2 linked regions of the Saccharomyces cerevisiae S288C genome follow. Changing the gene in region 1 together with any one later gene gives a genetic interaction. Each region holds a gene or a part of one and is shown in the gene's direction. Other genes may lie near its edges. The genes, in order: TRM3 and ROM1.

Evidence for each region.
Region 2: mutations in TRM3 (region 1) and ROM1 together harm fitness more than expected from each alone (negative genetic interaction), as found in Saccharomyces cerevisiae (2 studies listed by BioGRID).

What each region holds. Positions count from the first base shown.
Region 1 is NC_001136.10:256,776-263,803, forward strand, and holds TRM3 (tRNA (guanosine(18)-2'-O)-methyltransferase), read left to right. Parts: upstream 1-2,139; coding exon 2,140-6,450; downstream 6,451-7,028. Other genes in the region: ATG20 (Atg20p), read right to left, coding at 1-1,780; exosome non-catalytic core subunit RRP42, read right to left, coding at 6,538-7,028. UniProt on the Saccharomyces cerevisiae protein: S-adenosyl-L-methionine-dependent 2'-O-ribose methyltransferase that catalyzes the formation of 2'-O-methylguanosine at position 18 (Gm18) in various tRNAs.
Region 2 is NC_001139.9:625,754-631,860, forward strand, and holds ROM1 (Rho family guanine nucleotide exchange factor ROM1), read left to right. Parts: upstream 1-2,052; coding exon 2,053-5,520; downstream 5,521-6,107. Other genes in the region: ART5 (Art5p), read right to left, coding at 1-1,331; ENV11 (Env11p), read right to left, coding at 5,728-6,107. UniProt on the Saccharomyces cerevisiae protein: Stimulates the exchange of RHO1 GDP-bound form into GTP-bound form.

The sequences.
Region 1 (7,028 bases):
TTTTGATGACTTTTGAAATGACCTCCAAATCATTCTCAGTAACTTCCAATGATTCAGACAGTTGTTCAATTTCTTTCTTCAAATTGATACTTGCGGTATGCGGATCTGTTTCTTGATACTTCACAGAATCTTTTACCATTGATGCCAATTTGTTAAATCCATTGAATAGTTTGCCACCATATGATTTCCCACCGCTACCTGTATTATTATTAGGGCGTTCCAGATTAATAGTATGACTTTTAGACATTTCGTTGTCAATTATTTTGTCAACATCCTTATATTCATTGTTTTGCGCTTCCAGCTTCTCCAACTGTGCTCTTTTGGAATTCAGAGACTTTTTAATCATTTCATTTTGCAGGTATTTCAATTTTCTGTATTTGATCAATTCTCTTGCAGAAGTTGCCATATGAACAGATTCATTTAAAGGCTCATTTATATTGTAGTATAGTCTTCCAACTAATTTTTCTAAAGAAATCGAGGACCCCGAAAAGGCATTGCTTAAGTAAGAAAGCTGTTCGGCCAATTCCCCAACTTGAGCCTGTTCATGGGCAAACTGTGCAAATACCTCACCGATTTCATTGTAATCCGATTTCAAATCGTGATAAGTCTTCGTGGTTCGTCTATTATACTTATAAATCCCGTTATCTAACAAGTTCTCATATTGCTTGTAATCCTGTTCAATATTAGTAAACGACTTACTTCTTTCCTTATCCATTTTTTTGTCGTTGGACTCCTTATTCAACAATAACTGTGACGAGGAGCCCGGTATTGGTAACATGGCATGAATTCTAGTGGTGTTAGTGGGATCTAGTGGATTACACTGGAGGATGCTCTTCGGTAAAGATGAAAAAGTGGACGAACTGTTAACAAATTCATGCCAATTATGGTTATTAGGATCCAAAAAATCGGTAATTATAGATGTTTTTGTGATTTCTTCGTTCGTCAAAAGTTTGTTCAAGAACTCAGTGAGCATTCTTATCCTATGCCGTATTAACTTTTCATCACTATTATTGACCGACGCATGTATCACAGACAATGATAGATCTACTGAACCAGAACCTTCTGAGGGCAGCAAATACTTTGAACTCGAACCAGTTATTGACTTACCATAATTCTTTATTGACTGCTTTTCTGGAATCGGCGGTATCAACGTCATAGGAAACAATCTTATCAAGATACTTCTCAAACTCTCGAAATCGCTGTAACGTCTCTGAACGGTAGAATTTTCAAACTGAATAACATAGGCGATGTAGGCTCTTCCTTGACCTTCGGAAACTCTTTTCGCTTCAAGTATGTGTATCCTAGCGGACTTCTTTCTATTACTTACAGAAGGTTCTTCTGACGCAGAGGTCTCTCCGTTCATGGAGTTAATACTTCCACTAAGACTTGTTCTACATGTTTCTGCATTCGATTCTTGGTTTAAAGGCAATAATCCCTCAGAGTCATCCTCGTAATCTTCATTCGGGTTCTTTAGGTTATGGCTTCTCATACCGGGTATTTCTAATAAAGCTGATTTTGTGAATCCTGTTGGCCCCTCCTCCATGAATGGGTTGTCTTTTTCTAACAGGGCTGTGTGTACTAACTCAGTTTCTACTTTGTTATTGTCCCCCTTTCCAACCTTACCCTTTTTTGGGCTCTTTTTTGGCGATCCAACTCCATTCTTAGAAATTTCTGCCTCTGCCACATACTCAGTTGTCCCATGAGGTGGTTCAGCCTTTCCTGTATTCCGAGTTTCCGAATTCAATTTAGCATTTTCTTGGACATCATTTAAGTCTGACATTGTGTGCTGTAGAAGACAACTTTTCTAGATGGTATGTTCAATTGCACCACCAGTATTCGAGCTAGTCATCTCTTCATTTTGGAGATGACTTGCTGTAAATCGATAAATATTGGCTTACTCAATAGCCATATCTTAAAGGGGGCACAATGGGTGAGTTGTCGGGTAAGGGAATGTAGATCACGTGAATGAAAATTCAAGTGTTTTTCGAAAAGTTTCACCATGGCGATGAGCAAGATTGAAACAGCACTATTGTAACTATATAATTGCTAGTAAGCAAATAAGCCAAGCCTTATTAAAATCCGGTGAAAAGAATTGTTTAACGAACGTTACAAACTCTATACCTTTTTTTTACCAGCAAAATGGTTGGAGGTGCTCTCATCTGCAAATATTTACCACGCGAAGAGCAACTAAAGCTTATATCAGACTTGATTCAGAATGACAGCTTAGAAGAGGTGCTGGAGTTGATTGAAACTTCGCCACTGGATATAACGACGGACAGCAACATTGAAACACCAATCTTTGAAAAAATTACTGAGCAGGTCATTGCGTATGCTAGTATAGACGGTGAAGCCAGGGAAATGTTTCGCTCTTCGAGGGCTGAAATGAACAAGGCGCTAAGAACTTCTGCACAATTACTATGTTGTTTACCCAGTGTATGGCATAAATTTCAGGTGTGGATGAGCTACCGGTTAAATGACATCATTAGCGAAAACTATAAACATCTCTTCAATGACAACTTTGGAAAAAAGATTGTACAACCATTTTTCGATTCTTTTGCTGAGGAACAAAACGCTAATATCAAGCATGAAAATCTGCACTTAGATATCCTTAGCCTGCTTCACTACTTAGAAGTTGTATATTTATTTGACGAATGTAAGAATGGTATATCGTCCAAATGCCTAGATTTTATCATTGTTCCATTGTTAGGCTGTAATTCGGAAGAGATTGCTGATTCCTGCTCCAAGTTAATGAGATGGCATATCAAATATTTATCGAAATGCTGCAATACCGATAGTAACTTTGATAAGCTCATTTGGACATTTATCAAACAATTGTACGCTGAAGGCTCCCAACAAGCTTGGAAGCAAAAGAACAGTTTATCTTTTCTCCTAAGATTCCTTTTAGCAGCAGAGTTGTCTCCTGAACTTATTACTTATATAAAGACCGATGCTTATTGGAGGCACATTCAAACAGAGCTGGATAATGATGTGCACGAACACAGAAAATTGGCACTCTCAATTCTTAAATTAACAATTCAAAAACTGTCATCTCATGGTATAACATTGCAAACAACATTTTATAAATGCAATGATCTAGCAAATATCGAGATGCTGGGTAGCTGGAAGAAATTCACCACCTTATATGAAATGATTGCTCTGGACACATCATTGAATCAAATACAAGCGGCCAAACAAGATATAATAAAAATTTTTGATAACGAGCATTTACACCATAGTTGGGGCCTTATCTTGCTTTCTACGGGATTGAAATCATCAATGGAGAGTGTCAGAAAATACATGATGACGTTAATGTTCTCGATTACAAATATGTCAGCATTCTCTTCAAACTTGCCATTATTGACAAAAACTCTTCTTCCAGCTGCAATGTCCGCTCATTATTTTGATGTAAAAGGTGTCAGTTGTCCCCATGGTGAAAAACTTTCATTATTTGTCAATAACTTACTTTCCCAAACAACAGAAGGCATATCAGATATATTATTTGAAATTTTGAAATTATTGGTGGAAAAAGGGACCTCTTTTGACCCTTCTAGGATATACTTGTCCTACGGTATCTTAGTTTTCTTCCAGAATAACAAACAGAAAACAATCAACTCTGACCATTTGAGTCTGATCAGGAAATTGTACGATTTTGCAGCCGAAGAAGAGGTTCTCGAAACTACAATCCAAACAATTTACTTGAAGTTCTTACTGTACATTGATCCATCTGTCTCCGCATCTGAATTATTGTTTACATTAGTTTCACACATTAAGTTAAAGGGAGGGACATACAAATATGTTGAGCCTCTTTTTGAAGATTATAGGGATCTTGCCGTTTCTCACTTTGACGATTTGCAAGCGAAAGAAAACTTGACGACAAACATCGGAAAGGATACTATTTTTGACCTCTTAGCATCTATCATCTTCGATTTCAAGGATATTGATATTACTCCCGATTTTTTAATTGAAGTTGCGAAGTCGAAGCAAGATATACCCGTTTACACTTCAAAGGCAGTTACTTTTCTAACTCAGCTACTTTCAGGCGAACCTTCGAACGGTTATACCTATGAAAATGCAACCGCTTTGTTGTCTTACCCAAATTTTACAATATCTACATGGAAATCCATCAATGTGAATAATTTATTTAAGTCGGTAATGGAAAAATTTTCGCTTGATAAATTCAAGTTCTTTGCTGAAATTTACCAGAAGACTTATGAATGTAGGTTCGATACAATCGAGCTAAATTTTAATGACCTTCTGAGCCTATATGAAATGGTTAAAAAGTCTGCCAATCAGTGTTCAAGAGAGAGCTTTAAAGTGAAGGACAGCGCTTATTCTTCTTACTTTGAACTTTTAAATACCTTCCTGAAAACATACGCCTTAAATCGTGACTCTTCTGAAGGAAATGATGATGAGCTTCACATACTACTACGCTTAGTTGACGAGAATATTAACAAAGATAATGGGAATTATCTGGGGAACCTGGCAGTCTGTAAATTATTGTACTTTATCATAGATTCCTACATCCATTGCTCCACATCTGTTTCTGATGATGATATTTTCATAGTGAAATTCATTTTTGAGAAATTTTCGTTTATATGGGAATGTATTAATAGTGAAAGATTAGTTTTGAAGGAAAGGGATCTGCATTTGATGCTAATTAAGGGATTATTTCATCCTGTGATCCTGTACTTTGGATCAAATCAGTATATCGATACTTTGACCTCGAAGTTGGAGGAACATGCACAAACGATTATATCATTGAGTTATTCCAGAAGAAGCCTACTCCCTCTTCTCGGATCACAACTCAGAGTATTTATGAAGTTTTATGGGAAATTGTTAAGAGAAGATGTCAACTATTGGTGGTTGATTAACATTATAGTAGGTGTTTTCAAACAGCCGCAAATGGATGTCAACCTTTACAAGCTCAAACCTGTTATTTCCAGCCTATTTGACCACAAACTGAACAATTATTACATAAAAGGCGATGAACTTTATGAAAAGGTGTACGGACCCGACGAAATATTGGCTAGAGTATCTATTATTGATTCTATTTTATATGCAAATGATCAGTTGAAAATTCGATTAATCGAAAAAGTTACTGAAAAAACAAACGCACTTTATGCTATAAAGAGAACCGACGGTGCCGAAGCGTTACAGAGGTTGTTGCAGTGGCAATTGTTATTATTATCACTACTAACCACCAATGAAAAAAAATTAAGCGAAACTAGCATGATCAGAATTCTAAAGAGTATCGAGGATGAAAGTTCACCACTAGTAAGAGTATATAAAGAATGGTTCATTTCCTCAAAGGTTGTTGATTATTATAAAACTGGCAATCCAAAATTTGCTGAGGATTATCTCTTCTCATTGCTGGAGGATCATAGCAAACCGGTGTTTGTAGTTAGCGCAGAAAAAATATGCTTTATGGTGTTGAAAGATTTAAGAAACGACGAAAAGAAATATGGATTTACACAGTTACTAGACAGATTCATTTGCACGTTAGTTCCTAACGCAGCTTCAAACAAACCTCTGGTAAGGCATTTTTCTAATTCTCTAATAATTTCATTATGGCCTACATTCAAAGCCTACCTATCGGATCACACACTGAGAAACATCATTGAGAACTTATATTCCAATGCCAAAAAGACTCAAATATTTGGTCAATATCGTGCCGGGGATGCCAACATATGGGATCTGAAGGGTGATAGGAAATTAACGAACATGTTTGGTGGTGTGCTCAAAAAAGTTACCGACCATGATTGCCCGTACATTTCTGAGTCTGTTTTCGAAAAATATTTGCAGGAGAAAGATATTGTTCCTATAGGTACCGATGAAAGGTCCTTATGGCTTGATAAAAGAGACACCAATACGGAATCTGTTAACAACGCGAACATCTCCTGTGACACTTCTCCACTGCAAACAAAAAGTGGAGCTTGGGAAACCGTTCTGGATCTGGACAATAAAAAATCGAATGATGTCGTTACACGTTCTGAATTGATTGTGGTATCTTCATTAGTTGATAAGCCGCCAAACCTGGGAGGTATTTGTAGGTTATGTGATGTTTTAGGTGTGGGACTGCTTACTGTACAAGACATCAAAGTCAAAAACCATCCTCAATTTAAAAATGTTGCTGTGACTGCTGATAGATGGATGCCCATGGAGGAAGTTGCCCTAGATGAGATTGCAAGTTTCATGAAAGAGAAAAAGAAGGAAGGGTACACATTAATTGGGCTAGAGCAAACGGATAAATCAGTGAAGCTAGACAACAATTTCCAATTCCCTAAAAAATCATTGATCTTGCTAGGAACCGAAGCATTCGGTATTCCGGGGACTTTGTTAAGCGAATTGGATTTATGTTTAGAGATTCAACAATTTGGTGTGATCAGATCAATGAATATTCAAACGGCAACCGCAGTTATCGTTCATTCCTATACAGTTCAACACATGTAAGAATCAGGTTTCATTCCCACTTTTGTTAACCATGAAGTTTTTAGTATGTAAACTAATTTGTCTTTTTATCTAATTGTGACTATATTTTTATAAATTCTCCAGTGATCGTACTACGTCGGGGGCGTATTTCTCCACCATTGCAAGACCTTGCTTCAACAAATGAGGTTTAAAGCTTTTAACGTTTGAATCATTCAATGCTACTGATCTGATAGGTGATGTAATCTTACCATTAGACCAGGAAATGATTAGGCCATTATTGGCCACTTCGCTTTCGTTGGCTGCAGGGTCCAATAGCATATTGTTGCCTACAACGGCCAATATAAACACTAAAGGCGGATTAATGTCAAGCTTAACCATGTCGTAATCATGAAACGTAGGAAGTTCTTCCACCTCTAAGTCGTCAAAAGCTGAAATAAGTTTCGGTAGGTATGTGGAGTTCAACGCTGAATAAATAGCAAAGGATATTAAAGAAACTGGGTGTGAATGTGATGAAATGACCAGAACATCGACAAATATTTTGAAGCTGTACTTTTTTGTCAATTGCAACTTTGAGGAATCTACTCCGCTACCAGACTTCA
Region 2 (6,107 bases), on another chromosome or scaffold:
TGCAATTTGTGCATGACACGGATTAGGTTGTCTTGCAGACAGCAGTCTTGAGTTATTTGTTTGAGGTTATCTGGAATTGTAAAGGGACAATCGACGTCAAGTTTGTCCGTCAGCGGGCCGAAGTCCGCTAGATGAGTAATTTTCATGACGGCTATTTCATCATCATAAATTTGTGCGCTGCTGTCCTTCATTGCGTAATATTGGATTAGCGCCATTTCTATCCTATCCAAACGAATGTTCTTTTCGAAGGGGAAAATCTTAATCTTCACGGGGGTTGTGCTACCAATAGGAACAGCCCTACTCGGGATGGACGTTTCGTATTGCAACTTGTCACGCCAAGTATTACCCACGCTAATTTCTTCTTGCATGGCAAGATTGTCCATCGATAATGTACGAAGGATTCTGAGATACTTGAACTTTTTGATGATAATTTTATTCTTCGTTCTCATACCATTGCCGCTCGTACTTGTGCTACCGATTGGACCGTGAGGAGAAGTATGAACGCTCAGATCAGTATCCCATAACTGACGTCCATCTATAATGGCTTCAAAGGAATACAGTATGCTACCACTTTGTAGTCCCTCGATTGTTTCGCACACTTCTGGGGGGAGCATTGTATTGAAGGGTAGTTCGTAGTTGCCTCTTTTCATTAGGAATAAGTACGAACTTCCAGACCCGTCTCTGTTACTATAACTATGGCTATTGTTATTGAGGGTGTTACTACTACTGCTTCTACTACGGGCGTTTTCTCTTAAACCCTCGAAAGGGGTTCCTGTAACACCATTTTCTGGTAGCTCTAGTATTTTTCTGTGGGAAGAATGGGTCTTTCTTCGAATTATTTTGTTGAAAACAGGGCTCGAAAGTGATCTCTTGCTTAGAAATATTGCGTTGCCGCTGGTGTCCATATCTTGGTTGCTTGTACTGCGACCGCTACTACTGTTATGTTGATTTTCCGCATTTTCCCCACCGACTAAAACATCCCCTTTTGAAGAAACCAATAAGTTGTCCCAATAGCATTCGAAAATCTTACGCTTTTCCTTAACTAGACTTGCCAAACTACTGCTATTCTTCTTATATCGGCCAACTTGCAAAAACTCCAATTTGAATCTTCCTACCAATCTCAGCGAAATTTTCTTCACTACGATCTCATTTTTCACTGAAATCACTAAGTTTCCTGATAAAGGTATAGACGACAGTTCCAACGGTGACCCTTGGATCAAAATTATGTCCTTGTACGGGGAGTTTATTCTAATATCAAAATAACTTATTCTCTCTCTTTCCTTCTGCTCTGAATGCCCACCGCTGCTAGATAGCGAACTAAGTGAAAACATGGTCTTGCTTCACCCTATTCTCGCCGAGAGCTGTACAAGATATTTTTTACTTTTGCCATCTTATACTCATCCTAATCATCTGTTTCATTTTCCTTCTATTTCTTTTTTTTTTTTTTTTTTTTTTTTTTTTTTCAGTTTTCGAAGAAACTGCCTTTTTAGAATTGTAAAAGACGAAGTGAAGTATTCAGGAGTATATTATTACATACATACAAAGCAAGACAAAGAAACATTTTTAGATCTAACATTTTACTTCAATTGTTTTTGTATTCCTTATAATAAGAAAGACCTGCTGTTTAATGTGGGAGTAATCCGTCCCCTACTCGATCTTCAATAAATTGTCATCTTGTATCTAAAGGAGCGCTCCAGTACTCCAATTAAGCACCACCTAGTGCGTCTAGTGTCGATTTTTTTTTCACGCATACGTTTGTATGTTTCTTAAATTTCCCATGATTTTTTGTTGCCAATGTCATATCTACAAACTCTATACGAAAGTAAACGCACTTCATCTTTTTTGCCCTAAAACGGCAATATTTAGACATATCATAAGGGGCCCAAGGGAGAATCGTTAATTTTAAACTTTTCTTTGCTCTTGAATGAAAAAGTAAATAAATAAAACTAAATCAAAAAAAAGAACGCCACGTTTGAATTTTAAAGCAAAAATTTTGTTGATTTAGTAATGATATAAATAAAACCAAGTCGTTGGTAAGAATTTGGTTAGGTTATGAATAGTAATGAACTGGATCTAAGAAATAAATATTTTTATGAGATATTCGGTAAGAAAAGAAAATCAGATACTTCAACCCCTACTCAGTTGTTCTCCGGCTCCAAAGTTCAGACAAACATCAATGAAATTTCTATCACTAACGATGAGGATGAAGATAGTACTGAAGATGAAAATAAGGCTTCATTGAAGGATTATACACTAGGGCACGACACCGGTGCACGGTATAGGATAGCACCGGACTGTTCTTCCCACCAATTAAAGGCATCTCCTGTCCTACATATTTCAACAAACCTTAATTCAAGTCCACAATCCTTCACAGGCGATCAGATTTCACCTACTAATAAAAAAATTTCAATAAATGATTCGACCAGACAAGATAAAGGTAACAGTTGCACTACCACTTCATCACCTTCTCAAAAAAGATCGAATGTTTTGCTTCCTCACGTAAGAAAACATTCATCTCCTTCACTATTATCATTTTCCAAAAACAGTGGCAGTCATATGGGGGATCCAAACCAGCTATCTACGCCTCCAACTCCCAAAAGTGCAGGTCACACGATGGAGTTACACAGTTCATTCAATGGAAAACATAGTTCTTCTAGCACCTCTTCTTTATTTGCATTAGAGTCACTGAAAACCCAAAATAGACGCTCATCAAACTCTTCCAATCATTCTAGTCAATATCGACGCCATACTAATCAACACCAACGTCATCATTCAAGGTCCAAATCAAGTCCTGTCTCTCTGACGGAAATATCCATGATCAAAGGCACGCCTTTGGTTTATCCTGCACTTTTATCACTAATAGCAATTAAATTCAAACAGACCATCAAATTGAGCACGCATAAAAAGATGGGGTTACTTTACAGAGATTCCTTTACAGGAAAACAAGCAATTGATACTTTATGCTTGATCATAGGAAGCTTAGATCGTAATTTGGGCATGTTGATCGGAAAATCGCTGGAAGCTCAAAAATTGTTCCATGACGTACTTTATGACCATGGCGTAAGAGATTCTGTACTGGAGATTTACGAGTTATCTTCAGAATCAATTTTTATGGCACATCAGTCGCAGAGTTCTACTTCAATTGCCAACACATTTTCTTCATCATCTTCTTCAGTTAATTCGCTCCGTACTAAAACTGAAATATATGGTGTTTTTGTCCCATTGACACATTGTTATTCCTCTACATGCTCTCTGGAAAAACTTTGCTACTCTATTTCTTGCCCCAATCGTTTGCAACAACAGGCTAATTTACATTTAAAATTAGGTGGTGGTCTTAAGAGAAATATTTCGTTAGCACTCGATAAGGAGGATGATGAACGAATTTCCTGGACAAATTCTGTACCAAAGAGCGTATGGGAATCATTATCCAAACAACAAATCAAAAGGCAGGAGGCAATATATGAGTTGTTTACTACAGAAAAGAAGTTTGTAAAATCTTTGGAAATCATCCGAGATACTTTCATGAAGAAATTATTAGAAACGAATATTATTCCATCTGATGTAAGGATAAATTTTGTAAAGCACGTTTTCGCACATATCAATGAAATATATTCTGTCAATAGAGAATTTTTGAAGGCTTTAGCACAAAGGCAATCATTAAGCCCAATTTGTCCTGGAATTGCAGATATATTTTTGCAGTATCTTCCTTTCTTTGATCCTTTTCTGTCATACATAGCATCAAGACCATACGCAAAGTATCTAATTGAAACCCAAAGATCAGTTAATCCCAATTTTGCTCGTTTTGACGATGAAGTGTCTAATTCTTCCCTGAGGCATGGGATCGATTCATTCCTATCTCAGGGTGTTTCAAGACCTGGTAGATATTCACTGTTGGTAAGAGAAATAATACACTTCTCGGACCCAGTAACAGACAAAGATGATCTACAAATGCTAATGAAAGTCCAAGATCTTTTAAAGGATCTAATGAAAAGGATTGATAGAGCAAGCGGTGCAGCACAAGATCGTTATGACGTTAAAGTGTTAAAGCAGAAAATTCTATTCAAAAATGAATACGTTAATCTGGGTTTGAATAACGAAAAAAGGAAAATCAAGCATGAAGGTTTACTCTCAAGGAAGGACGTGAACAAAACAGATGCGTCCTTTTCAGGAGACATTCAATTTTACCTACTCGACAATATGCTATTATTCTTGAAATCAAAAGCTGTAAACAAGTGGCACCAACACACTGTATTTCAGAGACCAATTCCACTCCCTTTACTGTTTATTTGTCCGGCTGAGGATATGCCACCCATAAAAAGATATGTGACAGAAAACCCAAATTGCTCAGCGGGTGTGCTCTTACCCCAATATCAAACGAGCAATCCCAAGAATGCTATTGTATTCGCCTATTACGGTACGAAACAACAATATCAAGTTACTTTGTACGCGCCGCAGCCGGCCGGATTACAGACATTAATAGAAAAGGTGAAACAAGAGCAAAAAAGGCTCCTTGATGAAACTAAACATATTACTTTTAAGCAAATGGTAGGTCAATTCTTTCACTCATACATAAATACTAATCGCGTCAACGATGTCCTAATCTGTCATGCTGGTAAAATTTTATTGGTTGCAACAAATATGGGACTCTTTGTTCTTAATTATGCTACATCGATCAATCAAAAACCAGTGCACCTTCTGCACAAAATATCAATTTCACAGATCTCTGTATTGGAAGAATATAAAGTTATGATTCTTCTAATTGACAAAAAACTGTACGGCTGTCCTTTAGACGTAATCGACGATGCAGAAAATGCAGATTTTCTTTTCAGAAAAAATTCTAAAGTGTTATTTAAATATGTTGCAATGTTCAAAGACGGTTTCTGTAATGGTAAAAGAATCATTATGATTGCACATCATTTTTTGCACGCCGTACAATTATTGATTGTTAATCCTTTGATATTTGATTTTAATAGCGGTAATTTTAAAAAAAACCTAAAGGCAGGCTTGGTAGATTTTAGCGTTGATTCTGAACCTCTGTCCTTTTCTTTTTTGGAGAATAAGATCTGCATTGGTTGTAAAAAAAATATCAAAATATTAAACGTACCGGAAGTGTGTGATAAAAATGGATTTAAAATGAGGGAGCTTTTAAATCTACATGATAACAAAGTTTTAGCGAACATGTATAAAGAGACGTTCAAAGTAGTTTCCATGTTTCCGATAAAAAATTCAACTTTTGCATGTTTTCCAGAACTCTGCTTTTTTCTCAATAAGCAAGGGAAGAGGGAGGAGACAAAGGGATGTTTTCATTGGGAGGGGGAACCAGAACAGTTCGCGTGTTCCTACCCTTATATTGTGGCAATTAATAGTAACTTTATTGAAATTAGACATATAGAAAATGGAGAACTTGTCCGCTGTGTACTTGGAAACAAGATACGTATGTTAAAATCATATGCCAAGAAGATCTTATATTGTTATGAGGATCCTCAAGGATTTGAAATTATCGAACTGTTAAATTTTTGAGTTGACCGCCCATATTAATACCTTAAAACTTATTTCTTGAACCTATACATCTAAATTTAAGTAATATTATTTTATTTGTATAACCATATGTAGTTTACCTGAAATATATGGGTGCCATTAAGAAAATATAATACAATGGACAAGAATTTTGTCCTAGAAAATAAAGTCTTGAAAGTATATTGTCCTTTCCTTTGGAATATTATGTCACTAGCAAGCATCGAAAATTGATCCAGAGTGAAAATTAATTTTTTCGAGATTAAACTGTGAATTCAAAAGTTTGATTTTAATTGTTTCCTCACTCAACTTGGTACTGAAGTCTTGATTAGCTGTTAGAGAAGATAATTCTGACCGTATTGAAGATGTCGAATTTACTGAAAGCAACTGAAGTAAAATATCGATTACTTCAATCTTGTTTTTACTGCTTATGTAATTATTCCAAATTGAATCCGAGATAGGAATATGAATATCAAATGTCTCTTCCATGGGATTTAGGCACCATTCCCCCGAGTTAGAGTCGTTTTCCTCAGATAACTCATGTTTTGTAAAGTGAGATCCATCGAAGCTAATATCATTATCATTTAAGTAGT